Linked DNA regions of Macaca fascicularis. The protein of the gene in region 2 binds, or shares a complex with, the protein of the main gene of each other region. Links are inferred from orthologs where the notes say so. Each region holds a gene or a part of one and is shown on either strand. Other genes may lie near its edges.

What was found.
Region 1: RBX1 (region 2) and KLHL22 share a complex: the UniProt entries of both Homo sapiens proteins name them as parts of the BCR(KLHL22) E3 ubiquitin ligase complex. The link is inferred for Macaca fascicularis from reciprocal best matches to the Homo sapiens genes RBX1 and KLHL22.
Region 3: RBX1 (region 2) and KBTBD4 share a complex: the UniProt entries of both Homo sapiens proteins name them as parts of the BCR(KBTBD4) E3 ubiquitin ligase complex. The link is inferred for Macaca fascicularis from reciprocal best matches to the Homo sapiens genes RBX1 and KBTBD4.
Region 4: RBX1 (region 2) and DYRK2 share a complex: the UniProt entries of both Homo sapiens proteins name them as parts of the E3 ligase complex. The link is inferred for Macaca fascicularis from reciprocal best matches to the Homo sapiens genes RBX1 and DYRK2.
Region 5: RBX1 (region 2) and CUL3 share a complex: the UniProt entries of both Homo sapiens proteins name them as parts of the BCR(ARMC5) E3 ubiquitin ligase complex. The link is inferred for Macaca fascicularis from reciprocal best matches to the Homo sapiens genes RBX1 and CUL3.

What each region holds. Positions count from the first base shown.
Region 1 is NC_088384.1:32,301,097-32,307,362, forward strand, and holds the start of KLHL22 (kelch-like protein 22), read left to right. Parts: upstream 1-2,202; 5' UTR 2,203-2,283; intron 2,284-3,173; exon of another isoform or gene 3,174-3,301; intron 3,302-3,388; exon of another isoform or gene 3,389-3,434; intron 3,435-6,266. UniProt on the Homo sapiens protein: Substrate-specific adapter of a BCR (BTB-CUL3-RBX1) E3 ubiquitin ligase complex required for chromosome alignment and localization of PLK1 at kinetochores.
Region 2 is NC_088384.1:10,678,643-10,684,917, forward strand, and holds the start of RBX1 (E3 ubiquitin-protein ligase RBX1), read right to left. Parts: upstream 3,497-6,275; 5' UTR 3,472-3,496; coding exon 3,394-3,471; intron 1,275-3,393; coding exon 1,196-1,274; intron 1-1,195. UniProt on the Homo sapiens protein: E3 ubiquitin ligase component of multiple cullin-RING-based E3 ubiquitin-protein ligase (CRLs) complexes which mediate the ubiquitination and subsequent proteasomal degradation of target proteins, including proteins involved in cell cycle progression, signal transduction, transcription and transcription-coupled nucleotide excision repair.
Region 3 is NC_088388.1:18,259,883-18,266,032, forward strand, and holds the start of KBTBD4 (kelch repeat and BTB domain-containing protein 4), read left to right. Parts: upstream 1-2,558; 5' UTR 2,559-2,691; coding exon 2,692-3,355; intron 3,356-4,174; exon of another isoform or gene 4,175-4,291; intron 4,292-4,768; coding exon 4,769-4,875; intron 4,876-6,150. Other genes in the region: NDUFS3 (NADH dehydrogenase [ubiquinone] iron-sulfur protein 3, mitochondrial), read right to left, coding at 1-10, 223-320, 1,446-1,511, 1,621-1,687. UniProt on the Homo sapiens protein: Substrate-specific adapter of a BCR (BTB-CUL3-RBX1) E3 ubiquitin ligase complex which targets CoREST corepressor complex components RCOR1, KDM1A/LSD1 and HDAC2 for proteasomal degradation.
Region 4 is NC_088385.1:74,403,983-74,410,284, forward strand, and holds the start of DYRK2 (dual specificity tyrosine-phosphorylation-regulated kinase 2), read left to right. Parts: upstream 1-2,156; 5' UTR 2,157-2,547; coding exon 2,548-2,596; intron 2,597-3,213; coding exon 3,214-3,362; intron 3,363-3,391; exon of another isoform or gene 3,392-4,223; intron 4,224-6,302. UniProt on the Homo sapiens protein: Serine/threonine-protein kinase involved in the regulation of the mitotic cell cycle, cell proliferation, apoptosis, organization of the cytoskeleton and neurite outgrowth. Functions in part via its role in ubiquitin-dependent proteasomal protein degradation.
Region 5 is NC_088386.1:120,455,742-120,461,356, reverse strand, and holds part of CUL3 (cullin-3), read left to right. Parts: intron 1-3,779; coding exon 3,780-3,925; intron 3,926-4,615; coding exon 4,616-4,792; intron 4,793-5,615. UniProt on the Homo sapiens protein: Core component of multiple cullin-RING-based BCR (BTB-CUL3-RBX1) E3 ubiquitin-protein ligase complexes which mediate the ubiquitination and subsequent proteasomal degradation of target proteins.

The DNA.
Region 1 (6,266 bases), about 22 Mb from region 2:
GGGGAGAATATTCTCACTGGTCATAAAGCCAAGCTCTCAGGACACAAACAAAACAAACAGGAATGAGGTAGCTGTGCCTGGGAGGAAAGGATCAGTAACAAACGGTTACCCCTAAAACAAATTTAAGCAAGAGTCACAATGCGGATACAATATTTTCTTCTGCTAATTTGAATTTGGAAAGGAAGGGACAAGAAGTTTTTGCCTTCTACTCTCAGCTGAGTACTACAGGCAGCGATCTGGGAGTCGACCTTGGTAAGAATGCTTACCTTTTGCCAGTTGTCCCAAGTGGGGTGTCTTTGCCACCTCATTTGTTTGCTGGGTGCCAGAAAGAGTAGGGGGAAAGGAAATATTTTTTCCTCACCTATCACAAGGTTCCTGGTTGACACCCCTCTAACAAAGGACAGATTAACAAGAGAAAAGCATATCAATTTATTCAATATAAATTTTATATGACACAGTAGTCTTCAGAAAAAAGCCCCAGTGTCCAGTGAGGGGTACATTCTCTGCCTTTTTTTTTTTTTTTTTTTTTTGAGACGGAGTCTCACTCTGTTGCCCAGGCTGGAGTGCAGTGGTGTGATCTCGGCTCACTGTAAGCTCTGCCTCCCAGGTTCATGCCATTCTCCTACCTCAGCCTCCTGAGTAGCTGGGACTAGAGGTGCCCACCACCATGCCTGGCTAATTTTTTGTATTTTTAGTAGAGCCGGGTTTCATCGTGTTAGCCAGAATGGTCTCGATCTCCTGACCTTGTGATCCGCCCGCCTCGGCTTCCCAAAGTGCTGGGATTACAGGCGTGAGCCACCGCGCCCAGCCAATTCTCTGCCTTGAAGATGGTGCTTATTACAGCGTCCTCACCTGGCAAAAGTAGGGGATGAACTCCCTCAAACCTCTTTTATACGCTGATCCCATGGTGACTTCACCCTCATGACCTAAACCCCTCCCAAAGGCCCTACTTTATAATAGTATCACACTGAGGATTCAGTTCCAACATAGGAATTTTGGGGGTACCAACATTCAGACCACAGTGGCCTCCTTGTCGCTGCCCCAGGACTCCTTTTCCTCTCCTCTCTGGGTCCACCCTTACACCTGGTCCCATTGGGCCTTGGAGATCAGTCTTCCCCTACCTGAGGCCAAGCTGGGCCTCATCTTCCCCCAAACCTGCTCTTGCTCTGGCTCCCGTGTAGCCAGGGTGGGCCTACTTCCCCACCCATCTCCTGGGCTCAATCTTTACACATCACTGGATTTATACTGGGGAAGCTGCTTCCTTCCCGGGTTTCTAGCCTGCTCCACTCTCGTCTTCACTCTCTGCCTGTCTGAGACCAGGCACTATGGCTGGCTCCCTACTTAGTCTTCCTCTCCACCAGGTTGGCATCTGCCCACCCTGGCTAAAGGGTGCCCTCAGGGCTAAGTCTAGCCTCCAGAGGGCAGGGTCTGCTCTCCAACCTTCCCTTCAGGCTCAGAAATCCACTGGAATTATGAAAATTCCAGGAGGTATCCTGGAAACCTCCATACCACTCACTTTGAAGGATCTCACCTCCACGCGTTTGCTGACACTGTCCCCTTCATGGAATGCTTTTCTTACTCCCAAAGTCCTCGTCTGTTACACGTAGGGGGTTCTCCTCCAGAAAGCCTTTCTAGGAGGAAGCCCACTCGCATTTGGAACCTCTGCCTCTGGAGGCCAATCCTGTTCACCTGATCCTTGTCTGGGACCCTCAGTTATTTCTCTGGACTCAGCCAGGACAGCAATTCTCTTTCATCTATTTTCTTCCTTTTACATTCCCCTTCCACCTTTTTTTTTTTTTTTTTTTTTTTTTTTTTTTTTTTTTTTGAGACGGAGTCTCGCTCTGTCACCAGAGCGATCTCGGCTCACTGCAACCTCCACCTCCCGGGTTCAAGCGATTCTCCTGCCTCAGGCTTCCGAGTAGCTGGGAATACAGGTGCGCGCCACTATGACCGGCTAGTTTTTGTGTGTGTGTTTTAGTAGAGATGGGGTTTCATCATGTTGGCCAGGATGGTCTTGATCTCCTGACCTCGTGATCCGCCTGTCTCAGCCTCCCAAAGTGTTGGGATTACACGCACGAGCCACCACGCCCGGCCCCACCTTTCTTTTTAACCATGAGCCATCTCCAGCCATATCCTCCCCGCACCACTTTCTCCACCCTTCACAGTCCCTCTCAAAACCACAGTGTGGGACACGCCAATCTTATTCCATCAGGAGGCTCTGTGGCTCCAAGCTCTGGGCGCAGCCGTTACGGATACGCCTTGGAGGATGGGATCCGCTTGGAGGTGAGGTGGAGAAAAATGAATGCCAAGAGCCGCGCACGGACCTCTGGGACCAGGCTTTAAGACTGGGAATCAGATTTACTGCAAAATATCAGTAAAGGAACGGGCACACAAACTAGCACCTGTTCACCCTGGCGGTGTTCGGCGATTCTCCCCGATATCCCGCAGGGGGCGCGCTACCTTCAGCGGCACGGACAGCGGTGGGAGCGGGGAAGGAGCAGGCGCGGGAGGGAGGGAATGAGTGCGTGACGAAGGGAACGAAAAAAGGAGGGGAGGGGGAAAGAAGGGAATCAAAGAGGGAGGGAGGCAATGGGAGGGGGTAGAGAAGGAGGGAGGAAAAGCAGGGGGAAGTGAGACAAGGAAGGAAGGAATGAGAGAGGGAGGGGAGAACGAGAGTGAAGGAGGGAGGGAAAGGAAATGAAAGAGGGAGGGGATGAGGGGGGAGAGAGGGAGGGAGTGAATGAGTGAGGGAGGATGGGAATGGGGGTTAAGACAGGGAGGGAGGTAACGAGAGAGAGGGGAGAATGAGAGTGAAGGAGGCAGGGAGGGAATGAGTGAAGGAAGAAGGGAATGATGGGTGAGACAGGGAGGGAGGGAATGGGGATGGAGGGGAGAATAAGAGAGTAAAGGAGGGAGGGAGAGAATGAGAGGGGGGAGTAAGAGAGGAAGGGAGGAGAGAACAGAGTGAAGAAGCGAATGATGAAAGGGGAGGGAGGATATGAGCGGGGAGGGAGATAGTGAGGAAGGGCAGGAGGGAGTGAGTCGAGGAATGAGGGCAGGACCGAGGCAAGGAAAAAGTCAATGGGTTCGGAAGGCGCGACCCTCGGCAAATTCACTCATTCGTTGATTCGGCCCCGCCAAGTGCCAGGTGCCGCGCTAGTGCGGGGACTCACTGAGCCTTGGCGGTCGCTGCTGTCCTCCGCAGAGCGCCGGAGGGGAGCCGCCCCCCGTCTCCCAGCCGCAGGGCCGCCCCGCGCTGCTACCCCGCCCGGCCAGGCACCCCTGGGCCCGCGTCCAACCCGCCCGGCGCCTGCGCGGCGCGCCCACGTGACGGCCGAGGGCCCCGCCCCGCCGGCGCCGCTGGCCCCGCCTCCGCCTCCCGCCTCCCGCCTCCCTCCTGCTGCGAGCGCGGCCTCGGCTGGCGGCGGCACCAGGTCAGCTGCGAGGCGTGGGCCGGGCGGGTCGCGCGGCGGCGAACGCGGGGGGCGGGCGGCAAGCAGGCATCGCTGGGCCGGGGGCAAGCTAGCAGCGCGGAATCCGAGGGGCGCGGGGGCGGGCGCGGGCCGGAGGCGCGGGGGCGGCGACCTGAGGAGAGCCCGCGGCCTGACGTGGCGGGGACGCGGCCGGCGGGATCCCGGGGCGCGTAGAGGCCGGGATCTGGCGCTCGGCCGGGGGCCAGGGTGCGAGGCCTCCTCAGCGCGGCTGCGGGCGGGCCCTGTTGCCTGCGGCGGGTCCGAGGGCGGCCTTCCTGGCGGCGACCCTCCGCGCTGAAGCGGGCGGCCTTGCAACAGGCGGGCGACTTGGGGCCGGCCTGACGAGCCTCAGTTCCCTCAGTCGGGCCCGGGGACTGCAGCCGTAGGAGCCCAGCCCCGCCAGCTCGCCGGGTTTCCTGAGAGGAGCCGGAGATCGCGCTGTCAGTGCAAAATCACCAGAGCGCGAAGCGTCGGCTGCCAGTTCTGACCATTTTAGATTCGCTGCGGGCGGAGCCGAGTGGATCTGGGGCGGGTAGCGGGGCACCGCCACCTTTCGCCTGGGCTCCTCCCTGGGCGCCCTTGCTCCGGCCCTCCGCGGGGCCGGGCCTGGGTGCGCCGAGTGCCTCCAAGTCGGCTCCCTGGGAGGTTCTTCCAGAGCGCACCCTTTGGAAGGCTCCCCCGCTGGGAATCAGGACCCACTCCCTCTCTACCCGAGCCGCCCCCTTTGCCTTTGTGGCCGACCTTGCTTCATGCTGCCAAGGATTGAGTTTCTTTGAGGGGATACTGCTCGTTCGGGGGGCCTACAGAGGACTGAGGATATCTACTCAGTAAAATGGTAGCGAATTGAAAGTTCCTCTAAAATGATTTTGACTCTGCCATCCATTACTTCATAAAAATTCGTCTTATATCCTTCAGTTTGTACCTATGTGGCACATTAAACTTCCTTTCTGCTCCCCACTAAAACTTCGAACAGCACAAAACAGAGGGAACTTGGCTTGTGATGACTAGAATTGGGGATATGAGACTGGCGAAGAGCTTCAGGCTACAGTAGCCATGTGTCAAATGAAAATGGGGCCTGGGGGCGGGCGCAGTGGCTCTTGCTTGTAATCCTAGCACTTTGGGAGGCCAGGGTGGGTGGAAAACTTGAGGGCAGGAGTTAAAGAGTCCAGCCTGGCCAACACGGTGAAACCCCGTCTCTACTGAAAATACAAAAATTAGCTGGGTGTGGTGGCGCGCGCCTGTAATCCCAGCTATTCGGGAGGCTGAGGTAGGAGAATCGCTTGAACCCAGGAGATGAAGGTTGCAGTGAGCCAAGAACCTACCACTGTGCTCCAGCCTACACCATGTAGTGAAACCCCTTCTCTACAAAGAAAATTTGAAAAATTAGCCGGGCGCAGTGGTGAGCTCCTGTTGTTCCAGCTACTGAGGAAGCTGAGATGGGAGGACCACTTGAACCTGGGAGCTTGAGGCTGCAGTGAACCTCAAGCTGTCTCACCCCAGATAGCCAGGACTACAGGTGTACGCCACTATGGCTTGTTAGTTTTTAAATTTTTTGTAGAGAAAGGGTCGTGCTATATTGCCCAGGGTGGTCTTGAACTCCACCTACCTGGACCTCCCAAGGCACTGGGATTACAGGCATGAGCCACCATGCCCAGCCTACTTTGCACTTTTTTTTTTTTGAGACAAAGTCTCGCTGTTGCCCAGGCTGGAGTGCAATGGTGCAATCTTGGCTCACTGCAACCTCTGCCTCCTGGGTTCAATCGATTCTCCTGCCTCAGCTTCCCCTTTCCTCAGCCTTTCGAGTAGCTGGGATAACAGGTGTGTGCCACCACACTCCGCTAATTTTTGTATTTTTAGTAGAGATGGGGTTTCACCATGTTGGCCAGGCTGGTCTTGAACTCTTGACCTCAGGTGATCCTCCCACCTTGGCCTCCCAAAGTGCTGGGATTACAGGCAGGAGCCACTGTGCCCAGCCTACTTTGCACATTGGTTTTTTTTGTTGTTGTTTGTTTTTTGTTTTTAAAACGGAGTCTCACACTGTCACGCAGATTGGAGTGCAGTCGCGTGACTCTCCTGCCTCAGCCTCCCTAGTAATTGGGATTACAGGTGCCTGCCACCATGCCTGGCTAATTTTTTGTATTTTTAGTAGAGATGGGGTTTCACTATGTTAACCAGGCTGGTCTTGAACTCCTGACCTCGTGATCCGCCCGCCTCAGCCTCCCAAAGTGCTGGGATTACAGGCGTGAGCCACTGCGCCTGGCCACTTTGCATATTTTGACTGTTGCCTAAGGTTCTGTCAAATCACTGTGCCATGACATCTGTTCTCCTGAGGGTAGACGTTTTGGTGATTTAAAACCGTATAGATGTGGTTTTAAATGTTGCACTCTGTGCTGTGCTCCTTTGCAGCAGAGAATTGATTCATTTTTCGGCACATCCCCCTTAGCCCCTAGCTACGTTTCTTAAATTGTACTTGGTAAATGTACTTTGCCTGCCCATGGAAGATGTCTTTCTATTTTACCGTACTTGTTCTTGCAGTAGGTGTTTAGGGAGTAGCTGCCGTTTATCCCTTCCCAAGACAGCAGAGGCGCTACTGTGCTCATAGAAGGTGGGGATCCACCTAGGGGCTTGATGTCTGTTGGGGTAGTCAGTTGTGGAGGTCACCCTCAGAGAAGGAGGCCCTCTTGACTCTGTGGTGGTCATGGTGGTGATGAGGAAGCTGAGGCATGGATATATGAGACAAGTGCCCAGAGTCTATCATTAGCAAGTGGTGCAGCCAGCCATAGGGGCTTTTGA
Region 2 (6,275 bases):
CAATTCTAGAAACTTGAAGTTTCTTTCCTCCATTTCTGGCCTCAGTAACAAATCATTTTAGTTCCCGGATGAAAAAGTAACCTCTACTGTTCCTGGTGTGATCAACATTCTTGTTCCTTCTACTATAAGGACAGGAAATCAGTCCATCAAAGACTATAATCGGATCACTATGTGCTGACCACTACATGTAATAAAATATGTGGAGATTTAAATGAAATTTCTTTAGTGCAATCAATTACCTATTTAGATGTTGGCAATGATTTCCTTTTTATTATGTTTGGGCCTAACATACAAAATACTTACTCCTTAGGCTTCTTTCCTTTGTAAACAATGACCAGCAAAAATTAGCTCAGATAGACATTTTTTTTTTTTTTGAGACTCTGAGTCTCAAAAACTTTTTTTTTTTTTTTTCTTGAGACCCTGAGTCTCAAAAAAAGACTGTGAGTCTTGCTCTGTCGCCCAGGTTGTAGTGCAGTGGTGTGATCTCAGCTTACTGCCACCTCCACCTACCAGGTTCAAACAGCTGTCCTGCCTCAGCCTCTCAAGTAGCTGGGATTACAGACATGCACCACCACGCCCAGGTAATTTTTGTATTTTTGGTAGAGACGGGGTTTCACCATGCTGGTCAGGCTGGTCTTGAACTCCTGGCCTCAAATAATCCACCCGCCTCAGCCTCCCAAAGTGCTGGGTTTACAGGCATGCACCACCACGCCCGGCTAATTTCTGCATTTTTAATAGAGTATTTTTGCATTTTTAATAGAGTCGGGGTTTCACCATGTTGCCCGCCTTGGCCTCCCAAAGTGCTGGGATTACAAGCATGAGCCACCACGCCTCGCCTCAGATAGAATATTTTAGCTCAAAGTTTATTTTCCTCCTTTCAGTATTTCTACCTTTGAGTCTAGGTACAAGATGGGAGATATGCAGGAAGAATCAACAGTGCCTGTTGTCCACAATTAATTCTAAATGTGTCCCTGCCATCTTTAGATTGAGTAGATTTATTCTGAAAGCTGGGTATGCCTCCAGGACATCATAAAAAAACTACTCTATTTCAAACACACCAAAAGACTAGATACAGAAGACCGAGTGCTCAGAGTAGGCTTGATATCTGCTTGTGAAGAAGAAAATCGGTCACATCAAGATAGCCACAAGCTCTGCAACCTTCTCAACTTCCTCCCATCCTCCTCCAATTACTTACAAAGATCCATAATGTGGTTCCTGCAGATGGCACAGTTATCAACCACAATATCCCAGGCCCAGAGGGCTACTGCATTCCACTGCAAAGACAAAAAGAGGGAACAATGCATTCTCCTTATAACACACACACAGTTTTTAGGACTTCAGGCTGCAGTTGTAGTTATGATCTCTGGCCACAGGGAACCACCAAACAAAAGTTTTTGGATATTATGTTAATCTTATTATACCAAAGACAACAGTAGACAACACATACATTCTCCTATTCTCCAAAAGACTGAGTATATGAACACATAAATTAATGTCATCTTTTAATTTGTTTCCTGTAGTTTAAAACAATTTAGTCTGGCCGGACGCAGTGGCTCACGCCCATAATCCTAGCACTTTGGAAGGCTGAGGCGGGTGGATCACCTGAAGTCAGGAGTTCGAGACCAGCCTGGCCAATATGGCGAAACCCCGTCTTTACTACAAATACAAAAATTAGCCAGGCTTGGTGGCGGGTGTCTATAATGCCAGCTATTTGGGAAGCTAAGGCAGGAGAATCGCTTGAATCTGGGGGACAGAGGTTGCAGTGAGCCGAGATCGTGCCACTGCACTCCAGCCTGGGCGATGGAGTGAGACTCCATCTAAAAAAAAAAAAAAAAAAAAAGCACAAACTTGAATTTCTGTGCAGGTTTTGGTGGCAGTTGCAGAAGCGCTCAAAATCTGAATAAGTATCTGCTCTTCCAGGCAGCTTTGGAAGCATGAGCAATGAAGTGAAAGCTAGGGAACAGAATGAACTAAGATGATGACTGGATCATAAAACGGGTAATCGTGGGATAAGCTGGATAATTAACTGCCCATGTCAGTACACAGAACAAGGTCATCACTTAAATCTTAGATTACTTCATAACAAATTCTACAATTCACTAGAATTTTGTTCGATTCTTACCATAAAATAAACTGATGTTCTGAACTTTTATATGTTTAGACTCTTCTATTAAGATAATAATTCCAGTAAGAGTTTAACTAAAAGTGGCATTTCATTCATTCAACTCTGGTTTCCTCAATTACAAGTACTCCCAAACCTTCATCGCTTTCAAACCCCAGTCTCAGTGCCTAGTAACTTCTTCACCACTTTTCACATCACAGCTTCAACTTGGAGGAAAAGCCCCTACTTCTATTATTCTTCAATATGGCTGGCTGTAACTGAGCAGCAGTGGCCACAATGAGACACCAAAAAGCACTAGGAGGGGGGGATATTGTCAGTGTTTAGCCAGATGTTCCAGGAATATCTTCCCTATTTCAGAATCTCCATTTCGAATAGTTTTCATGTTAGGTGGGAATCGACACTTTTCTCCCAAACTGTGGCAAACCACTAAAATGCATTTCATGCAAAAGACACGTTCCATTTTTGCTTTCCCCTCTTACCAAGTCATTCGCAACTACTACTCAACCCTCCCGAAATGCCACAGGATTTGGGCTCGGATTTTCTTAACAAGTTCCACCGTGCTTTTTATTATTATTTCGGAAGGGGGAGATTCTGAACGTGACAGAGAATCCAAGAGTGGGGTGGTTGTGGGAAAAGCCAACAGACGTCTCAGAACACCCAAGCATTACACTCCAGACTCTAACTCGGCGGTGTGAGGCCCAGAGATGGGGTTAATGGAGGCCTCGGTTCAGCGAGGAACAAGTCTGATCCCTTCAAGTGAGAGGACCCCAAGCAAGCTTCAAAAAGGGGCGGAGCAAGATCACTAGCGGGGCTCCTCAGAGGCCTCCAATGCGGTAGGACCTCAGGTTCCAGGCTTTCGCCGCACTGCCCCATCCTCCACCGCCGCAGTCGCTCTGACTCCCCATTCCACCCACCCCACCCCACCCCACCCCACCCCACCCCACCCCACCCTACCTTCCCCCACCTCTCAACCACTCCAGTGACAGCTCAGGCGCTTGGCTCCCGCCGCCAAGTCGCAACCCCGCGTATCTCAACAAGCAGCTCTGTGATTGGCCCCTCAGCCTCACATCGAAACCAACACTTCCCCTGACAGTGGGCCGCCGTCACGCCGATCAACTCTAAGGCCCGCCCCCCGACTTCCTTTCGTGGTACCCGGTCCCAGGAACGCCCTAAAATGAAACCCTTTACTCCGCGCCTCGACCATCCTCGGGCCTGCCAGCCAGATCCGCGCCTCTCTAGCTTCCCTGAGGAAGGCGCTGGCGAGACCCAACCTTTTTCACTTCAAAGCGCTTCTTGCCCGCGCCGCTGTTGGTGCCGCTCGGGGTATCCACATCCATCGCTGCCGCCATTTTGGAAACACACGGTCTGTCGTCCGACCACCGCGCCTGCGCAGCAGCGCACACCTCGTTCCCCCAGCCTCCCCGGCACCTCCTCCCGCACCCCACCCCTTACTGGCGCGCGTGGGGGAGGTGGGGGCGGAGCACGTGACCACGCCTCTTAAAGGGGCTATCGCAGGTCGCCCCACCCGCGAAGTGTCGGCCGGGGAGGGGGCGGTGGCCGGAGTGGGTGGGGCGGGGCCGGGCGGGGCCGAGGCTACGTGAGCTAGCCTGGTAGAAACGTTCGAAAGGGCTCGAGGTCGCCGCCTCCTCTGGGAAGCCCCCGGCCGCACTCCATCAGCTGGGGCGGCGGCTGCTTCCTCCGCCTGAGTCGGACCTGCGCCGCAGTCCTGTCCTGCCTACCGGGCTCGCCCGGTCGCCGCGCGACTCCCATTGCTAGCCGGGGTGGGCGCCCGCCGCCTGCCCCGAAACCTGAGAGCCCTCGCTGGTCTTTCGCAGACTCTGACCCACCTCCGAGCCAGGCCCAAGGCGCAGTCCGCGTGGGAGGGCTGGGGCCCAGGCACCGTCTGGTCTCCGATTTCTGTTCGGGAACTGCTCAGGGATCGATGGGGAGAGAGGAGAGCCCCGAAGGTCCTCCCTAAGGCCAGACTGAGCAGGCCCCCAGTGCTGCCCTCATCCCCCCGCCAAGCCTGGAGGGTGGCCTCTGCGCCCGCTTAGTCGCAGTCCTAGGACCGCCTTTGGTCGTGGTGCGCGGTTTCACCGTGGCGTGTGTCAGTCCCCACTCCTCATTCCTCAGTTGTCATCTTGTGTAGGGTGATTTCTCCCCAGTCTGTGTCCTCTTTCCGCTACTTGTGCTATAGTGAAACCGACCCATCTGCAGTCGCTGTATTTCTTTAATTTTTGTGAAGCATTCTGACTTTTTGGGGTGTTTTTCTGAGACGGAGTTTCGCTCTTGCTGCCCAGGCTGGAGTGCACTGGCGCGATTTCGGCTCACTGCAACCTCCACCTCCCGGGTCCAAGCGATTCTCCTGCCTCAGCCTCCCTAGTAGCTGGGATTACAGGTGTCCGCCACCACGCCCGGCTCTTTTGTATTTTTAGTAGAAACGGGTTTTTACCATGTTGGCCAGGCCGGTCTCGAACTCCTGACCTCAGGTGATCCGCCTGCCTCGGCCTCCCAAAGTGCTGGAATTACAGGCTAGAGCCGATTTTTTTTTGTTTTAAATAGAGACAAGGTCTCACTCTGTTTCCCAGGCTGGTCTCGAACTCCTCGGCTCAAGCGATCCTCCCACTTCGACCTCCCAAAGTGCTAGGATCACAGGAGTGCGCCACCGCGCCCGACCCAAGCACCTGTACTTTGTGTCACTCTCCCATTTCTCGCTAGACCAGGACTCCCTTTGACATCTCTAACCTTGCAGAGGTATGACTCCGCCAGAGCACTCTTAGATCTGGTACAGGTGATTTGAAGCCTTTTATTTTCTCTTAAAAGATAACTGGAGAGTAATGGAGTGTGCTGACACTATTGCTAAAGAGAAAGAATTGGCCAGGCGCGGTGGCTCACGCCTGTAATCCCAGCATTTTGGAAGGCCGAGGCGGGTCGATCACCTGAGGTCGGAAGTTCGAGACCAGCCTGGCCAACATGGCGAAACTGCATCTCTACTAAAAATACAAAAATTAGCTGGGCGTGGTGGCACGCGCCTGTAGTCCCAGCTACTCGGGAGGCTGAGGCAGGAGAATCTCTTGAACCCGGGAGGCGGAGGTGACAGTGAGCTGAGATCGAGCCACTGTACTCCAGCTTGGGTGACAGAGTGAGACTCCGTTCCCAAAAAAATAATAATAAAAGAGAAAGAATTGCCATTTGTTTATTTGTTAGTCATAAACAGGCACAACAGATCCGGGAAAACACCACCACAGCTTTATCCAGACTTGGAAAGAAAAATTGTGTGAGACAGACCTTAAAGGGCTACAAGAACCCTACAAAGTTTTTTTTAGCCCAAGTTGTAATGACTTTATGTTAAAATTTCTGTTGTTAATTTATTGTGCGCCTACAGTCCCTGACAGGAATACTAGAAACCCATTGTAAATTAAGGTATTGAGGACATACTTATCCATCATTCAACAAAAGTATTGATATTTACCAGGTTCTATTTTAAACAGAAGAGACATAATAACAGTCAACCCCCTAGTTAGGGAATAAGACACAAGTCAACAAATAAATACATCAGGAAGTCTCAGGGCCAGTTAAGGTGTCTCGCGCCTGTAATCCCAGCACTTTGGGAGGCCAAGGCAGGCGGATCACCGGAGGTCAGGAGTTAAGAGACCAGCCTGACCAACATGGTGAAAGCCCATCTCTACTAAAAGTAGAAAAACAAAAATGAGCCGGGTGTGGTGGCAGGCACCTGTAGTCCCAGCTACTGGGGAGGCTGAGGCAGGAGAATGGATTGAACCCAGGAGGTGGAGGTTCCAGTGAGCCGAGATAGTGCCACTGCACTTCAGCCTGGGCAACAAAGTGAGAGTCTATCTCAAAAATAAATAAATAAATAAAAAGTTTCAGGTATCTGCCAGGCAGGGTGGCTCAGGCCTGTAATCCCAGCACTTTGGGAGGCCAAGGCAGGCTGATCACTTGAGTCCAGGAGTTGTCCAGACCAGCCTGGCCAACATGGCGAAACGTCGTCTCTACAAAAAAATACAAAAATTAGCTAGGCAAGGTGGCACATGCCTGTAGTCCCAGCTACTCTGGAGGCTGAGGGGGGAGGATTACCTGAGCCCTGTACATGGAGGTTGTAGTGAGCTGAGATGGTGCCACTGCATACCAGCCT
Region 3 (6,150 bases), on a different chromosome or scaffold from region 2:
AGCAGGACACCTGCACACATGGAAGGGAGGGGAGAGGGAACAAAGAGCTACTGAGGGAACAGCTAACTTCAGCTGGAGTCACCTGGCTTAATGCTGAGGGAAAAGTCCAAGGTTGGGATGGAGGAGTCTGTAGTTTCTTTGAAACCAGTCTGCCCACTCCCACATGCTCTGAGAACATGGTTCTTTCTTGGCCCAGACCCAAATAACAGTGGTACGTATTACCTGAACTTGTTGGACATACTTGGGCAAGATTTCAGCCACATACTCTCCAAAAGCTGAGAGCTGCTTGTGGGCCACATCATTCCGTGGTCTGACAGTGGCTGGAAGGAAAAAGCATATTTAACAAAGAAATGGAGAAGGCAAAAGCCAGCCCTGTATCCAGTCTCTTGGGCTTGTAAGGGATGTCAAATCCAGTAAAGGCTCCCTGCAGCACCCTGAGAAAGGGGCATGTGAAAGGTTTCCCTTCCAGGGAATAGAGTGATGAAAACTTGGGGAAAGTGCCACCTTAAGTACACAGTCCTCAGAAAGACTCAATACAGCAGCTGGGGTGTTCACCTCTTCTCAAAATTACTCTACAGTTCTTCCCTCACATTACCTGCATTTCTGCTAAAGCAGTAGTCTCAGTTCTCCTGTCAGACTAAGAGCTGTTTGAGGATGGGAACCAGAACTTTTGCTTCTCTGTAACTTCTTAGCATGTAAGTTTATACCAGGTTCTCAAGATAAGAACTTCAGGGCTTGAGGAGCCCTCACAGACTGTCTCCTTGAAACCTACTTTTTTTTTTTTTTTTTGTATCAATGAGAAAACTGAGGCCAAGAAAAGGGGAAATGCTAGGTCTCCTAACTCCCAGTGCGTGCATCTTGACTGTAACATATGTACATACTCATTCATGCAACCCTAAACCACTGAGCACTCACACATCACAAGCTACGGAATGATGGTTAGGTTTTCCTGCCTCTGGCAGCAGGCAGGCCTACTTTGTCATTCACTAGGTCTCTGACCCTGGGCAGTTTAATTCTTTGGATTGTTTCCTGATCTATAGTAAGAAGAGTAAGATACTACCTACCCCATAAGGCTGTTGTGAGGACGAAATAAGATCATTCACTAAAACGCTTAGCGAGGTGCCAGGCACACATTAAGCACTCAACGTGAGGTACTATTATTACAGGGCTCTAAGGACTAAAGGGCACATTGCTTGCTTTCGAAGAGCTGAGAGTTTAATCAGACAAAAAGGGGACCATTGAAACGGACAAGGGACAATCAGGGCCATAACAGAGAGGCCTAAGGGTACAGGGAGGGCTCGATTCTGCACGCAGGGTGAAGACCACCGCAGTCAGGTCTCCAAGATTTGCCAGGAAGACGCAGGGAAGGGCATCCTAGGGCAAGGACAGGCACCTAGGGGGCCCCGCCGACAGTTCAGGGAAGAGCGCTGCCAGCACATACTCACGGCGCGTGTCGGCCCCGGCGCTCTCCCGCCTCACCGGCAGCAACAGAACTGAGGGTCGCCCAGCCCCTGCACAGGGAGATAAAAGGCACAGACGCGCGGGGTGAGGCCTGAAGAGCTCTCTGCACTGGGCACGCCGCTGCGCCTGACCCCGGTCTCAGCTAGCTGCCCCTCTCACCCCTCGTCAGCGCCGCGGCCCCCACGATTCCACGCCACCACAGCCTAGCTGTCGCTGCCGCCGCCATGTTACCCAGACACAGACTAGGCAGCGGACGGAAAGACAGCAGGAGACGGAGCCCCAAGGGCACGGACCGGAAGCGGAAGTGTGCAGCAGATCTTCTTCCGGGCGGACGTGGAGCCTGAAGCAGAGGTTCCGGGCTCCGGGATGAAAGGAGGGAACGCAGGTGAGAAAGCGAGACAGGCAGGTAGGGAAACCGTAAGGTGAGCGTGGTCCTAGCTCCGTGTGGCAAAGCCTGGAGAGAAGGCGAGGACGCTGAAGAACCAGACGGGTGAGAGGAGGGGAGGGGGCGGGCGTTCTGGGTTCTGCACTACACACCCCTCCCCCGCTCTCAGCCAAGCTTTTGACGAGGGCGGGCGAGCCTGAGTGGGAAGAACGGTTTCCCTGGCGACGGTTTCCCAGGCGACTTCAGGTGGAGCGGGGATATTGCACAGGGCGATGGGCCTCCCAGTGCCCCGGCCTGAGGGCGGCTGGACTTGAGTTCTGGGACGCAGCCTTAGGGAGTCTTTCGAGCGAGCGGGGAAAGTAGCTCAGAAGAGAGCAAATGTGAGACTGACGTATATCCCAGGCTAGGCCTCATATGGAGCGTCTTAACTCCATGCGCGGGGAAGGAGAGGACCTGGCCACTAGGCCAGGGCGGGGGGTCCTTTTTGTCTGACTCTGCTGCCCCGAACTTCACTAGTTTTATGCCCCAGTTATTTGGTTAGTAAGGCTTTTACGGTCACAGGCCTCCCCCAGCCCTTTGCTTTCATATATTGACCTAAATCCCAAGTCTTTTGTTAATATCATGGAACGGAATTATTCCGTGTTTTCTCAGGAAAACACCCAGAGTTGGAACTTTGATTTATTTCATTAGCGGAGTGGTGCCACTGGGGAGAACGAACCCAGGTTTGGTTAAAGGATAGCGTCAGGGACATCATGGACAGGACCAGGACTAAGGCCAATCTGGACCCACTTTGCTGTCACTTCTTCCATTTCCCTCCCTGAGTTGGACAGTTGGATTCACAGATTATGGCTGTGAATTCCGCAAGTTACTCAAGGTGGTGTTGCTTTGCAGACAGCTGGCAGAGAGAGAAGTTGGCTAGCATGGAATCACCAGAGGAGCCTGGAGCATCCATGGATGAGAACTACTTTGTGAACTATACTTTCAAAGATCGGTCACACTCAGGCCGTGTGGCTCAAGGCATCATGAAACTGTGTCTAGAGGAGGAGCTCTTTGCTGATGTCACCATTTCGGTGGAAGGCCGGGAGTTTCAGCTCCATCGGCTGGTCCTCTCAGCTCAGAGCTGCTTCTTCCGATCCATGTTCACTTCTAACCTGAAGGAGGCCCACAACCGGGTGATTGTGCTGCAGGATGTCAGTGAGTCTGTTTTCCAGCTCCTGGTTGATTATATCTACCATGGGACTGTGAAACTTCGAGCTGAGGAGTTGCAGGAAATTTATGAGGTGTCAGACATGTATCAGTTGACATCTCTCTTTGAGGAATGCTCTCGGTTTTTGGCCCGCACAGTGCAAGTGGGAAACTGCCTTCAGGTGATGTGGCTGGCAGATCGGCACAGTGATCCTGAGCTCTATACTGCTGCCAAACACTGTGCCAAGACCCACCTGGCCCAGCTGCAGAATACAGAGGAATTTCTCCACTTGCCTCACCACCTACTCACAGATATCATCTCGGGTAAGTTTAGGGAGGGGACACAGCATACGAAGTTACTTGGCTGTGATGTTCAGTGAATGTTCTAGTTTAGGAGAAAGGAACCCTCATGCTTCCTGGTGTTAATTTACATTATTATTCCTGCATTCTTACTGAGATAACCTGCTAAGAAAGATTGAGTTGAGATTCAGTGTAATTGCTGTCAGAGACACAGTGTGTTAGAGGAAGAAGCCAGGAAAATTAAAGCACAACACTTAACCACACAAAAGTACTGAGGAGTGATTTGTATTATACTCTAATTTCTCCTGTACTTTGGATGTCCCGGTGGGTCTAATTACCTATGTAAATTGGTGATGAGGTAAGATATCTAAGACTAAAAACTTTTTTAGTGATGGGCCAACGTCAGGAAACAATCCTAACCCTGCAAGTGAGATATAACCATACTTAAGGTGTGAGGTTGGCTAGGCACGGTGGCTCACGCCTGTAATCCCAACACTTTGGGAGGCCGAGGTGGGCGGATCACCTGAGGTCAGGAGTTCGAGACCACCCTGGCCAACATAGTGAAATCCCGTCTCCACAAAAAAATACAAAAATTAGCTGGATGTGGTGGTGGGCACCTGTAGTCTCAGCTAATTGGGAAGGCTGAGGCAGGAGAATCACTTGAACCCGGAGGCAGAGGTTGCAGTAAGCCAAGATCATGCCACTGCACTTCAGCTTGGGCAACAGAGCAAGACTCCATCTCAAAAAAAAAAAAATAGTGTGAGCTCTATAGCTTAGTAGGTTGCTTCCGTGGCAGATGGGAGCATATCGAGCCATCCATTTTGATTTAAAAAAGCAAGGCACATATTCTGGTTTTTCTTCAGATTGTCTAAATATTTTGCCTTTTACTAAAGATTTCCATGGAGAGGAACAGTTGTGAGTCTTTACCCAACTTTTTGAGGCCTCATGTAACACGAGACTACTTTAAAAAAAAAAGCAAGGCATGCCAGGCATGATGGCTCATGCCTGTAATCCCAGCATTTTGGGAGGCCAAGGAGGGAGGATCGCTTGATGCCAGGAATTTGAGACCAGCGTGGACAACATAGCGAGACCTTGTCTATACAGAAAATAAGAAAATTAGCCAGGCGTGGTGGTGCACACCTGTAGTCCCAGCTACTTGGGAGGCTGTAGCAGGATTGCTGGAGCCCAGGAGGTTGAGGCTACGGTGATGGTGATTGTGCCATTGCATTCCTGCCTGAGCGACAGGGTGAGACCCTGCCCCCCACCCAAAAAAAAGGCAATTTCAGGTTAATTTCATGTATATGTGTATGTATGCATGGACATATATACACATGCCCAGCAGTAGTCTAATAAAGCAGTTCACATCTTTTAAAGTCCCTTACTCTGAATTTCTCTTTCGGATCGTCATTGACCATGCCTTTCCTCTGGCTCTCACAGATGGAGTTCCATGTTCTCAGAACCCAACAGAGGCAATAGAAGCCTGGATTAACTTTAATAAAGAGGAAAGAGAGGCTTTTGCAGAGTCACTCAGGACAAGCTTGAAGGTAAGGCAAATCTCTTAATTGTTGAGACTGCACACTCTCCATGCATTCTCACCATCAGGTAACCTGGCCTCTTTTTTTTTTTTTTAAGACGATTTTTGCTTTGTCACCCAGGCTGGAGTGCAGTGGCGCAATCTCAGCTCACTGCAACCTCCACTTCCCAGTTTCAGGCGATTCTCCTGCCTCAGCCTCCCAAGTAGCTGGGATTACAGGTGCTGCCACCACGCCTGACTAATTTGTGTATTTTTTAGTAGAGATGGGGTTTCACCACATTGGCCAGGCTGGTCTGGAACTCCTGACCTCAGATGGCCCGCCTGCCTCTGCCTCCCAAAGTGCTGGGATTACAGGTGTGAGCCACTGTGCCTGGCCTAACCTGGCCTCTTTGTGTGTATGTATGTGTGTCTGTGTGAGAGAGAGAGATGGAGTTTCGCTCTTGTCACCCAGGCTAGAGTGCGATGGTGCGATCTCGGCTCACTGCAACCTCCGCCTCCTGGGTTCAAGTGATTTTTCTGCGTCAGCCTCCCAAGTAGCTGGGATTTCAGACGCCCACCACCACACCCAGCTAATTTTTGTATTTTTAATAGAGACGGGTTTCACCATGTTGGCCAAGCTGGTCTCATTCCTGACCTCAGGCGATCCGCCCGCCTCGGCCTCCCAAAGTGTTGGGATTACAGGCGTGAGCCAATGCGCCTGACCTAACCTGGTCTCTTTTTGATGGCCAGGTTATGAATGGTCATCTGTTTTTGTTTTTGCTTTTTTTTTCTTTTTTTTTTTGAGACAGAGTCTCACTCTGTTGCCCAGGCTGGAGTGTAATGGCATGATCTCAGCTCACTGCAACCTCCACCTCTCGGGTTCAAGCAATTCTGTCTAAGCCTCCCGAATAGCTGGGAATACAGGCGCATACCACCACGCCCAGCTAATTTTTGTATTTTTAGTGGAGACAGGGTTTCACCATATTGGTCAGGCTGGTCTCGAACTCTTGAGCTTAGATGATCTGCCCACCTCAGCCTCCCAAAGTGCTGGGATTACAGGTGTGAGCAACCGCGCCTGGCCATCTCTGTTTTTTTAATTTTTTATATTTATTTATTATTTTTTTGAATAAGTCATCTCTGGCTTGAAGTTGATGTAAGCTGGGGAGAAGGATGTCTTTGTAACCCCAGAACCACCAATCTATGAGCTCTCAAAGTTCCTTGAGAACTACTTTCATCAAGTTAACAATCTTAATCACCCTTTGTCCAAAGCACCAGTTTATGAGAGTTTTAAAAGTTACAAGGGTGA
Region 4 (6,302 bases), on a different chromosome or scaffold from region 2:
GTCAAAAAAAAAAAAAAAAAAAAAAAAAAAAAAAAAAGAATCAGCACTCCTTTTCCTCATGTTAAATGAGTAAATTAATATTACTAATTTGGAAATTGTAAACTATGGCTTCCAGTAACTAGCATTTATTTTATTCATGAGAAAACAGTGGCATATTTAGCTTCTACTGAAGTATTGTACGAATAACTTAAGCAAAAAGGGCTGTCGGATTATATTAAAATTGATATTTTTGCTTCTTTTTTTTATTTGAACATCAGTTGTATACTCATTTTAAAAAGGAAAATGGTATAAAATAAGTGTTTTGAAAGGAGAAGAAAAGAGGTGTGAGCTTTCTTGAAAGTGTAAGGAAAGTAGTGTGATGGAAATCAGTGAAATCAGACTGGGAGTCAGAAAACCGGTTCTAGTGTCATCTCTGCTACTGAGTAGCCCTTGCCTTTTAGTCGATTCTAAACATTAAATATGCTTCCGCATGTAGATTTAAATGTGATAGTCGCTAGTGACAAGCATAGGGGGATATTTCTTGCAAGGGTCAGTTCAGGTCATGATTCATCTAAAGGCATATCATTGGATTATTTTACTGTGGTCTACTTTATTAGGAGAAGGCCCCAAAGGGTTTTGTTTTGTTTTTTTGGAGGGACGTGATACTAGGCAAAATTCTTTTTGTCACAGTTTCCCTCTCCCAGTGTCCCTAACTTGGAGGCCTCTTTAGGAGTCCCAGAGACTCTGAGAGGTCACACTGTACCTTGAAACACAGTTTTTGGCGTTTGTATAAAGCTGCGGGTGCGCTCTGTGGGAGGTTGCTATGACAATTTGCAAACAGTAGAGGCGATGAAACTCCGCAGGAGGTGACTCCCTTCCGACTGGAGTCTGCACTAGTTCGGGCCTGCACAGTAGGTCCAGCCAGGGGCCAGAGATAATCGGGCGGGGCAGAGCGTAATGGACCCCTGACCCCAAGAGAACTTCAGAAACTAGGCACCTCTCGAGAAGGAAGTGCATGGCATAACTCTGCCCCGTCATTCGGAATTTGTCGGGCTTTTCCACCCCACCTGCTCTCACGGCTGAAGTGGCAACACCTGTGACCTTTGGACAGAGGCGCACCGTGTGCCACGCACGACGAGGCGTGGGTGTGAGACGGGAAAGCAATTTTTTTTTTTTTGGTCTTCAAGGAAAAGAGAGGTTGTAGATGGCGAATAAAAAAGGCAGGGAAATTCTCTAAGTTTCTTGTAAAGGAAGGGGTTTATAAGAGATGCGTCGGGTTGGGGTGAGAGGAATTCGAGGTGTCGCTCCCTCACCGCAGAGCTCAAAGGAAGGTGTGTCTCTCCCAGTGGCCGCGCCAGGAAAAGGCTCGGAGTTGTAAGGAAATAGGAGGTGTCTCTGATGTTTATTTTTGCCTAGCAACCCACAGCCAACTGCTTCCCCAGCTGCCGTCCACACGCGCCTCTCTGCCTCCCCTTGTCCTAGCGACTGGCGAACGGTCACTTGGTGTCAGTAAACCGGGGAGGGTGTGTGTAGTGGAGGTGGGAGGGCAGCCCCCTCTCTCGCCCCTGCTCAGGGTCAACGAGCTCAGCGGCGGCCCCTCCCAGGACTTGACTCTCCGAGGTGACCCTCGCACAACTAAGTTATCTACATGAGGAATTGGGGAGAGGGGAGTGGCTAAGTCGCCGCGACTGAGAATGGGGGACCGGGGACGCAGTACTGTCTGTGAGCAGCCATTCAGTTCGAAGAGCTGAAAATGCATTTATGTTTAGGGGTGGGCATGGCAGGGGAGGGGTCTCTGCGACGCTTTCGGCCGGAGGGCAGCAGCGGTAGGTTGAGCTGTTAGGGCAGCGGAGGGGCTCCGAGGGGGCCGGAGAGGCCGGGGAGGGGAAAAGGTCGCCGGAGTGGAGCCGAGGGGAGCAGTGCAGATGGCCGGAGGGGGCGGAGGAGGGCGAGCGGAGCCCGCCGAATTTTCCGGGGAACGGAGGGGCGGCTGCGCGCGACCCGGGGAGAGGAGAGAGGCCAGGCGGGAGGCTGGGTGGGGGCCAGGGCCGGGGGAGCCGGGGGCGGGGCCTGCGGCGGCGGCGGAGGGCGGCGGAGGGCGGCGGAGGGCGGCGGAGGGCGGCGGGGGCGGGGCCGCGCGCCGGTGTCTGTGTGTGAGTGCGCGGGGCCGCGCGCGCGCGGGCCCGGGAGAGCCTCCCGAGCTAGGCGGTTCTCGGTCCTCGCGGCGCTTCTAGCTCCCCGCGCCCCTATGTGAGGGAGACGGGGAGGCCCGCGGCGCGCAGGGGAGGGCGAGGCATGTGCACGGGCCGGAGGGTGCTGCAGCCGCCCGAGGAAGAGGAGGACGGCGGCGAGGAGGAGAGCGGGGGGCTCGCGGCGGCGGGCCCGGGCCGAGGGGATGCAGTGGACTGTGTGTGTCTGGCTGTAGCAGACGCGAGGCGGCGACGAGGCGCCGGGGACCCGCGCGAGGGGCGGCCGGGAGGCGGCGGCGGCGGCGGCGGCCGCCAGAAGTAGCAGCAGGACCGGCGGCGGCGACGGCAGCCCTGAAATGCATTTTCCTCTCCAGCGGCCATGTTAACCAGGAAACCTTCGGCCGCCGCTCCCGCCGCCTTCCCGACCGGTAAGGAGGCCGTGCCCCCGCGCCGCCCCCCCCCCCCGGAACCCCGCCGACCCAGGGCAGCCCCCGTGGCGCGGGCGGCCGCTGCCTGCGGGACCTCGAACAAAGTCGGCGGCGCGGCGCGGGGGAGTCCCCGGGCGGACGGCGCGCTCCGGGCTCCGCGCAGGGTTGCGCGCGGCGCCGAAGGCCCCTCCGAGGGGAGTCCTCCGCCCGAAGAGGCTTCTGCCTGCCAGGGGCCCGGGCGGGGACCGTCCAGGCCTGCCGCCCCGCCCTTCTCTGCCCGGGGCTTGGCGTGGCCGTGGCGCCCTGCTCAGCTGTCCAAACCCACCTCCCGGCCGCTGGCAGTCTGCAATGTGGGCCGCCAAGCCCCGGCGTGGTCCGGCTTCCCCGCCGGGTCGCGAACTCGCGCGCCAGGGCCCGACTTAACTTTGCAGCTGCCTGCGCCCCGCCCGTGGGTGTGCGCTGGGGAGCCGTGACCCGAACGCTTGTTTGTACTGCCCCGGTCTCTTCCTCTGTCTTTCCCTGGGAGAGGGGTGTCGCTGCCCAGTGGGGTGGGGGGTAGTCTGGGTGACTTTCTCCCCCCTGACCCTCTTTTGTCTCCTCCCGCACGTGGCTTCCAGGCAGAGGTGGGGACAGCGCCGTTCGCCAGCTTCAGGCTTCCCCGGGGCTCGGTGCGGGGGCCACCCGGAGCGGAGTGGGGACCGGCCCGCCCTCCCCCATCGCCCTGCCGCCTCTCCGGGCCAGCAACGCTGCCGCCGCAGCCCACACGGTGAGACCCAGCCCGCGGGCGGCCCGGGCGGTGGGGGCGGGAGGGGCCCCAGGCAGAAGCACCCGGACTTGGAGGGTTCTGACGCCGGGAGAAGAGGGGTCGAGATACAAGAAGCCCCACGCCCCGGGCCCGTGGCCTCTCCTCGACGCCGCCCTCGTTAACTTGGGCGAGCCCAAAGCTGCAGCCACAAAGGAAGATTCGTGGCGTGGGCCCCTTACTTCCCCTCCGGAGCCCGCCCAGCCATGAGCTCCTCTTCCTAGGAACTTCCTCCTTGCTGCTTCCCTTCTTTCCTCATTTTTCGTCCTTGCATCCCAGAGCTCCCTTTCCCTGACCGGGTAAACATCTCTGTCCTTCCCCCACCTCCCCGTGGGTAGTGGGTATTTATAGAAACAGATATGTGTTAGGGGACAGCCAGACCGGCCTGCCTGGAAAATCGATCCCCCAAAGAGCCTCCCAGGCCTGGCTCCAGCCAGCAGGGAGCATCGCCAATTGTCCCCCGCGTGTGTAAGCATGTTTTATGAGTGCTACAGGTTTGAGCACAGCAGAAATTGTAATTAACATTAACAAAAATAAGAGCCGCCGCAGCAGTCAAAACAAGCCACCCCTGTAGGATTCTGCAGTTGGACGTTATTCAAAAGGAAAGGGCAAGCGTTGCTTTGGAGGTGGGAAGGAAAAAGCACCTAACAGGTGCTGTGGTCTCTCAGGGCCCAGAGGGAGGGGAGAGGCCAGCGTGGTACTGGTTGCTGGTGGCTGTGGAGACTGGCAAGCTGGATTCGACTTCAGCATGTACCTTTTCTCAGCTCCCAGGGATCACCCTTGGATGGTGATGGCCAGCCTGGAGGAGATCTGCACTTGGAGGAGGTGATGGTTTGGAGGTCTTTTTTTCCCGATTGGATTTTCCACAGGAACAGCCTAAGATGGTTCTGTGTGAGGGATGCTTGCCAGGAATTGGTTTTATTTGCCAAGCGAAAGTTGAGTTCTTGAAAAAAAGGCCATCCCCCGGCCTACAGGGGAGTAGCTCTGGGGACATATGGGGAAACTTGTTTGTCAGAGAACTGTGAGGGGATGTCTAGACCGTAGTTGCACCTGTTAGACCTGGAGAGACGTGTGCAAGTTTCGTAGGAAAATGTTTTGTTGCTGTTACACTCTTCCCCCTCCCTCTGTCTGTCTCTGTCCTGACACATCTGGTCCCAGGGGCTGGGAATTCATTGCACAGAAGTTAACTCATCTGTGTTGGACTGTGGATGGTAGTAGGACGGATGATTCTGTATATTACTGTTCAGTGTTCTTGTTGCAGTGAAAATTTAGGTAACGAACTGCCATTGATTTTAGGGGTTTAGATTTTTTGTTTGGGATCATCTGACAATTTGGAAAATGTAATATCCAGTTTTTTTTTTTTCTATGTGTTGATGTAATCACATGACATGGTGTGACCTGGAAAAAGAGCTATTTGGTTTGCATGTGGATTCCAATTTTGTAAGGATGGGCTTTGCTTGATCAAAGCCTCTTTGCCATTGAAATACATGTAATGAAAGTAGATAAAACGACAAGTCTCCACTGGAGGGAGAGCCTGTGGTGCACCAGAAAAGGAAGGATGTGAATGTGCTTCTCAGTACTCCTCATAATGGAGGCCTGTATTTTGCTGTGGCGTGTGCCAGATTTACTTGTTTTTAACGTGTGTGTAAACTTCGCTATGCTGTTAATTATTAGATGCTTGACTTTGAAGGTGTGAATTTGGGTTTCGATGGTGGTTTAGTTTTGATTTTATTTCTGTAACATCGCAGATTTCATAGTACAGGAAAGGTTAAAAGGACCACAGAGTTTATCTGTTTCTAGTCTTTCAATTTATAGATGAGGAAACAGACTCAGACAAGGTAACTGGTTTCATCAGGATTCCCCAGCCAGTTCATATCAAGGCCGGAGTGAAAGCCTACACCCTCCTGCATCTAGTTTTAATATGCTGATGGAGACTGCTAATTCTAGGAAATTGTACTAGCCTCATTATAAATGCAAGAACCTTTGTAGATCCATATTCTCATATGTCTGTCGGATTTTTATAAATTTTTAGTTATTATTTCCAGAGTAATTACACCTAGGAAGAACTTCTAGAATGAATGGGGGGTGGGGAGGGCATTAAGGAGATAAAAATGATCTTGTCATAGGAGCTTGCCCACATTTTCTCTTACAGGTGATACACTAGGCAGGTCAAATATATGATTATAAAGATTATAAGCTTTGGAATTTATCTAGTCCGTTGCCCTCTTGTTTTATATCTCCATGCATAAGTTGTTTTACACTTTAGTAATTTATTTCTGTTTGTGTGAGAGATAGAAGTGTGCCTGTTACTTCCTATTATTTTTCTATTAATGTTAATTGGCAGTTATTAATAGAAGTATTTTAAATTCAAAAATATTAAAATATGTGTAACTTTTATAACTGTTTTACTATGTAAAACACTCTCCAGTTAATCAGTTTTACAAAATAATTCGAATTAAAATACACATTTAAAAAATGGCAGTATTTTGAAGAAAAAGTAGACACTTTACTTAGGGCCACACAGACTGTCAGAATGTTTGAGGAGGAACTGAAATTCCAGTCTTTTTGGACTCAGTTCTATTACCATAATACTATACAGCATTTCTAAGATGACTTCAGAAAAGTTTTTAAACACCCAAAACTATTATCACAGTGAAATATCTGCTCTTTGCCATTTTCTTATTGGAAGAAATGAAAACTATGAAACTGGTTAGACTGTTGTTTTTATATAATATTTAATACCAAAGTACTTCATGATCAAAGAAGCCTTTGCAGGTCTCTCGATTTGAACCCGTAAACTGTAGCTGTTTTAACAATTGCATTCATTATGTTTTTTTTGTTTTTTGTTTTGCTTTGTTTTGTTTTTTTTTTGAGACGGAGTCTCACTCTATTGCCCAGGCTGGA
Region 5 (5,615 bases), on a different chromosome or scaffold from region 2:
TATCTTTATTTCCCTGGGGTAAAAAAAAAATTGTGACAAGTATCCTAGAAGAAATTACAAGTTAAAAGAACAATAACCATATCTTCTATTCTTAGTTTCTGATGCTTTGATTTAAAACTTTGCCTTTATCAGTGATATGGTATTAGAAAATAAAAAAACATGGTCCCTTGTTCTCCTGCTTCGTAGATGAAATCTGAGCGATATTTTATCCACTTCTTTTTAGTAAAAGAAATACGTATTGCCTCTTGGGGTCATGAGCTATGTAGGGAATGAAAAAAAGTTTTTTAACAGAGAATTATGAAGAGCAGGAGGATACAAGAGAAGGGAAAAAGAAAGCTGGTGGGAAGTTGAGCCACGTTTCTCTCTAGTGGAATCCTTACCTTGTGTTTTAAAATTGTTAAATTTTTGTATATATGATAAATCCCTGAAAAGTGATATATAATTTAAAAAAAAAAAAAAAAACTAGAGAGACTTCCTTTTTAAAAGACTATTCTGTTAAACCTTTTTTTGTAAAAGCAAAAAAAAAAAAAAAAAAAAAACAAGTCATCTAGTATGTTTGCCGTGTTTGCTAAAATTAAGGTCTAAGTCTGGGGTTGGCAAGCCTTTTTTGTTCTTGTTGAATAAAATGGCTTGTGAGCCATGCAGTCATAGTGAGAAAATAGTCATAGACAATAACAAATGAATAAGCCTGTGTTTCTATAAGACTTTATTTATGGGCCCTGAAACTTAAATTTCATATAATTTTTATGCGTCACTAAATAGTATCCTTTACAGTTTTTCCTCAGCGATTAAAAATGTGAAAACCATCCTTAGTTCATGAGCTGTATGTACATAAATAGGTGGCAGGCTTATTTGCCCCACGGGTTCTAATTTGATGACCCTTCTCTAAATGGTCTCTGGTAGACTAGGACTTCATGCAAAGCATTTGCCCTGCTTAAACAAAATGAGTATCGATAAATTATGTAATGTACTGTTTAGGTATTGAGTGAATGCTTTCTTACCTACCTTAGGGGCATGTAGGGAGGGATGATTAAATGGGCTGGAGATGAGGGGCTAGGAAATGTTTGATGGAGAGGTTGTTGGGCATACCTGAATTACAGCATCTCTGTAACTTGTGTGGAGATATATGTAAAAGGTGTCAGGTGTGCCTATCATTGCAGGCACTTAACGTGAATGAAGGAATATCATAATAGTACTCACCAGAGTTCTCCTTTATTTAGTACCTTAGGTTTCCAACAACACAGTAGCTATCTGTGATTCTAAATTAAATTTTAAAATCCTGTTTTTGTCCGGGCAGTGTGGCAAACGCCTGTAATCTCAGTACTTTTGGGAGGCTGAAGTGGGTGGATCGCTTGAGCTCAGGAGTTCAAATTGGTGATACCCTGTCTCTATGAAAAACACAAAAATTAGCTGGGCGTGATGGCACATGCCTATAGTTCCAGCCACTTGGGAGGCTGAGGTGAGAGGATCATTTGAATCCGGCCAGGGAGGTCAAGGCTGCAGTGAGCCAAGATCATGCCACTGCACTCCAGCCTGGGTTGCAGAGGGAGATGCTGTCTTAAGAAAAAAAGGGGGAACTGTTGTCTTTAATTTTTCTGAGCTTCCACTAGAAACCTAGTGGCAAAAGATCTTAATTGTGATAGACCCCGCTCTTGGAAAAAAGTTGCTCTTGTTGAGAACATATCAGAGGCAACTTCACCATTATGAAGCCAAATTCTCATAAATCAGAAAACGAAAAACAGTTTTCTCACTGTGAATGGAGGATAAATTGGATTGTTATTAGATGCAGATAGCGTTATGAAATTAAGTTCAAATGGTATCTTTTTTTTTGAGATGGAGTCTTGCTCTGTCACCCAGGCTGGACTGCAGTGGCGCGATCTCAGCTCATTGCAAGCTCTGCCTCCCGGGTTCATGCCATTTTCCTGCCTCAGCCTCCCGAGTAGCTGGTACTGCAAGCGCCTGCCACCACGCCCGGCTAATTTTTTGTATTTTTAGTAGAGATGGGGTTTCACCGTGTTAGCCAGGATGCTCTCCATCTCCTGACTTCATATCCACCCGTCTCGGCCTCCCAAAATGCTGGGATTACAGGCGTGAGCCACCGTGCCCAGCTGGTATCTTAACTATTTTATTAAGTGTATATAGAAATAATGATATTTAATTTTTGAATGCCAGATTGCCATTTACTCTTTTACATTCTCTTTACCCTGACATTTAAATACAATGAAATTGTAGTAATTTATGTCAACTAAATACACAACGTGTAATATCTAAGCCACACTTACAACAAAGGAATGAAATAGACATTTTGTTAGAGGTATTTGGTGTGCCACGTTTACTGTAGTATGTGTCCATACATTGTTGTTGCATTTGTAATACCTGTTTTAAACATGGGAAACTTGGTTGTAATTTATGCTAAGCATGTGAGAAGCTATAAAATTGCCATGTGTAGGTTACTATGGGCGTATATTATTAATGGAAACTAATAAATTTGCTGCCGAAAGTCACTGAAATAAAGATTAGTAAAACTTTGTCAGACTTGCTTCGAAATATTTTTAAAATACATACAAGTTTAAGCTCTAAACTACTCTTAGAACTGTAGACCAAGGTAGGCAAATTAGGGCCTGTCCACCAAATCTGATGCACTACCAGTTTGGTTTTTTTTTTAAAAAAAAAAATCTAGTATTTAATTACACATGAAAATTTATATAAATTTTCAATACCCATAAAATTTTATTTGAAACATAGTCACACTCATTAATTTATGTATTGTCTGTGGCTCCTTTCTTGCTATAGTGTCAGAGTAGAGTAGTTAAGTCAGAGATCTATGGCTCACATTTAGAAATATTTATTATCTGATGCTTTACAGAAAAAACATTGGTCAGCCTCTGATCTAGAAACTCTAACTCCATTTTAAAAAGTTATTGATTGTAAAACTTTTAAAATTATCATTGTAAAGTTCTGACACTGTGTTCTTCCAGTAAGTTGTTATTATAAAGAAACACTAGACATATGGGAAAACTGTATTTTAAAATCTATATTTTAGTCTTGTGAAAAATGATATTGAAAAATGGATAGGATCCAGAGTTTTCATTCTAAATTTAAAAAGTGTAGTGAGAGGGACCAAATTTTGAAGTACAGATACTGGCTTAGGATGCCACCTGGGAAACATTAGGGATTGCTCTGAAGAAAATATTTAAGAAGTGGTGTTTATATTATACATTTCATAAAAACTTTACCTGAGGTGTAATGAAGTAAATCTTAGTATAGTTCATTTGATTTGTTTTCATGATTATCAGTTAAACCTTTGGAAATACCCACAAGACTTAAATTGGTTTTAAAATTTCTTCCTCATTACAGGGACTATCAATTATATCTTACTTAGTGACTCTTTTTGTAGATGTTTTGTAGTGTCATTAGGTCTGCATTAGAGTTATGTAGGATAAAGTATTTATGAACTCAAAACTGCAGTTGCCATGTTTTTGTGACATTGTTTGTTACGGGTTTTGGCATCTCTTCTTCCATGTAAATTTAAATTTGCTAGGACATTTAATTGATACTTTCAAAGCATCTCGTCTAAAAGTTGTGTTTTATAAATTACAGTAATAACCATTAACTAGCCTACTTTTTCATGTTTTCATTTTGATACATGTATATTTTTAATAGTCATGCGGTCAGTAAATGGGGGTAATGGAGAAATAAGCTTCTCTAAGTATTATAGCGTGAACACAGATTCGTGTTTTTTTCTTTAATGTAGCGAATTTGTGTTTTCTGATTTGTAGATCTTGGTTGCATGTACAAGTTATTTAGTCGTGTGCCAAATGGTTTGAAAACAATGTGTGAGTGTATGAGTTCCTATTTGAGGGAGCAAGGTAAAGCTCTTGTTTCTGAAGAAGGAGAAGGAAAGAATCCCGTTGACTATATCCAGGTAAGTAAACCCAGAAGATGCTCTACATTTATAATAAAGGCAATTTGACAAGTGCTAAAACGTATTTTCAACTTAATTGTCCCAGTCGTAAATTAATAGTTGTAATTATCCTAAGTATTTTAGGATTTTGCAAGGTGCGCATATTTATATCAGGGAGCTAAAATTCAACTGCTACTTTTCATTTAACTTCTCTGATGAAGATCTTGTTTAAATAGTCTCAATAGCGAATGTGAGGTTCTTTGGTATGCCTTAGTGTTTCTATACTGTAGTATATTGGAATAAACAACTGTTTATTTTTTGTTTGAAAACGTTTTGTTTTCAAGCAGTACTGTGAATAAATTATATGCCGTGTTTTTGTGTTTTAATATAATCAGCTTTTTTGGTACATTTTTTAAGCTAATTTTTTCCCTGGCTAACCCATTCCATGAAGACAGGAGAATGAGAAGCAGTGAGGAGGTTCTTTGGTTCGTTTGCATTGTGTTAATACATATATGGAAGTTATAATACCTCTCTCATTGACATTTTTAATAGAGGCTTAGATATAGGCTTAAATAATATCAAAGCTGTAAGTTTAAAAATGAATATACATGTTTATTACCAGCAAAGTTAAGATAAACATACATGGTCATACGTGTATTATTTATGGAAAAATTATTATAATGTGTCCTAAATTTTGTTTTTATTTCTAAGGGTTTATTGGATCTGAAGAGTAGGTTCGATCGCTTCCTCCTGGAATCATTCAACAATGACCGGCTCTTTAAACAAACTATTGCGGGTGACTTTGAGTATTTTCTCAACCTCAACTCCAGGTCTCCTGAATACCTCTCATTATTTATTGATGATAAGCTGAAAAAGGGAGTCAAAGGGGTAAGTAGTAATGCATTTGAAAATAATATTTAATTTTATTTAAAGATACAAAATTATATGTAAAATTAGGACATTTCACAGATAAAAATTAAGCATGACCCATTGCTGTGCTTAAATGTGTGCCATGGTGTATTAAAAAATAGTTTGAAATACTTGACATGCTCAAAAGTAGTTAGACATTTCACTTAATGTGTAATTGGCTTCAAAAACAAGCAACTGGATGGGCTTGGTGGCTCATGCCTGTAATCCCAGCATTTGGGGAGGCCAAGACAGGAGGCTATCTTGAGGCCAGGAGTTTGAAATTAGCCTTGTTAACATAGTGAGACTCCATCTCTACAAAAAAGAAAAAAATTAGTGGCACATAGTGGTATACACCTGTTGTCTCAGAGGCTGAGACAGAGGATCACTTGAGCTCAAGAATTCAAGGCTGCAGTGAGGTATGATCGCACGACTGCACTCCACCCTGGGCAACAGAGCAAGACCTTGTCTCAAAAAAACTGAACAGCCGTCCAGGTGTGGTGGCTCATGCCTGTAATCCCAGCACTTTGTGAGGCCAAGGTGGGCAGATCACCTGAGTTTGGGAGTTCGAGACCAGCCTGACCAACTTGGTGAAACCCCGTCTCTACTAAAAATACAAAATTAGCTGGGCATGCCTGTAATCCCAGGTACTCGGGAGGCTGAGGCTGCAATGAGCCGAGATGGCGCCATTGCACTCCAGCCTAGACAACAATAGTGAAACTCCGTCTCAAAAAAAAAAAAAACCCTGAACAACTACACAGCTGTAGTTGGTTTTAAACAGTCATTTTTGTGACTGAGAGTTAGG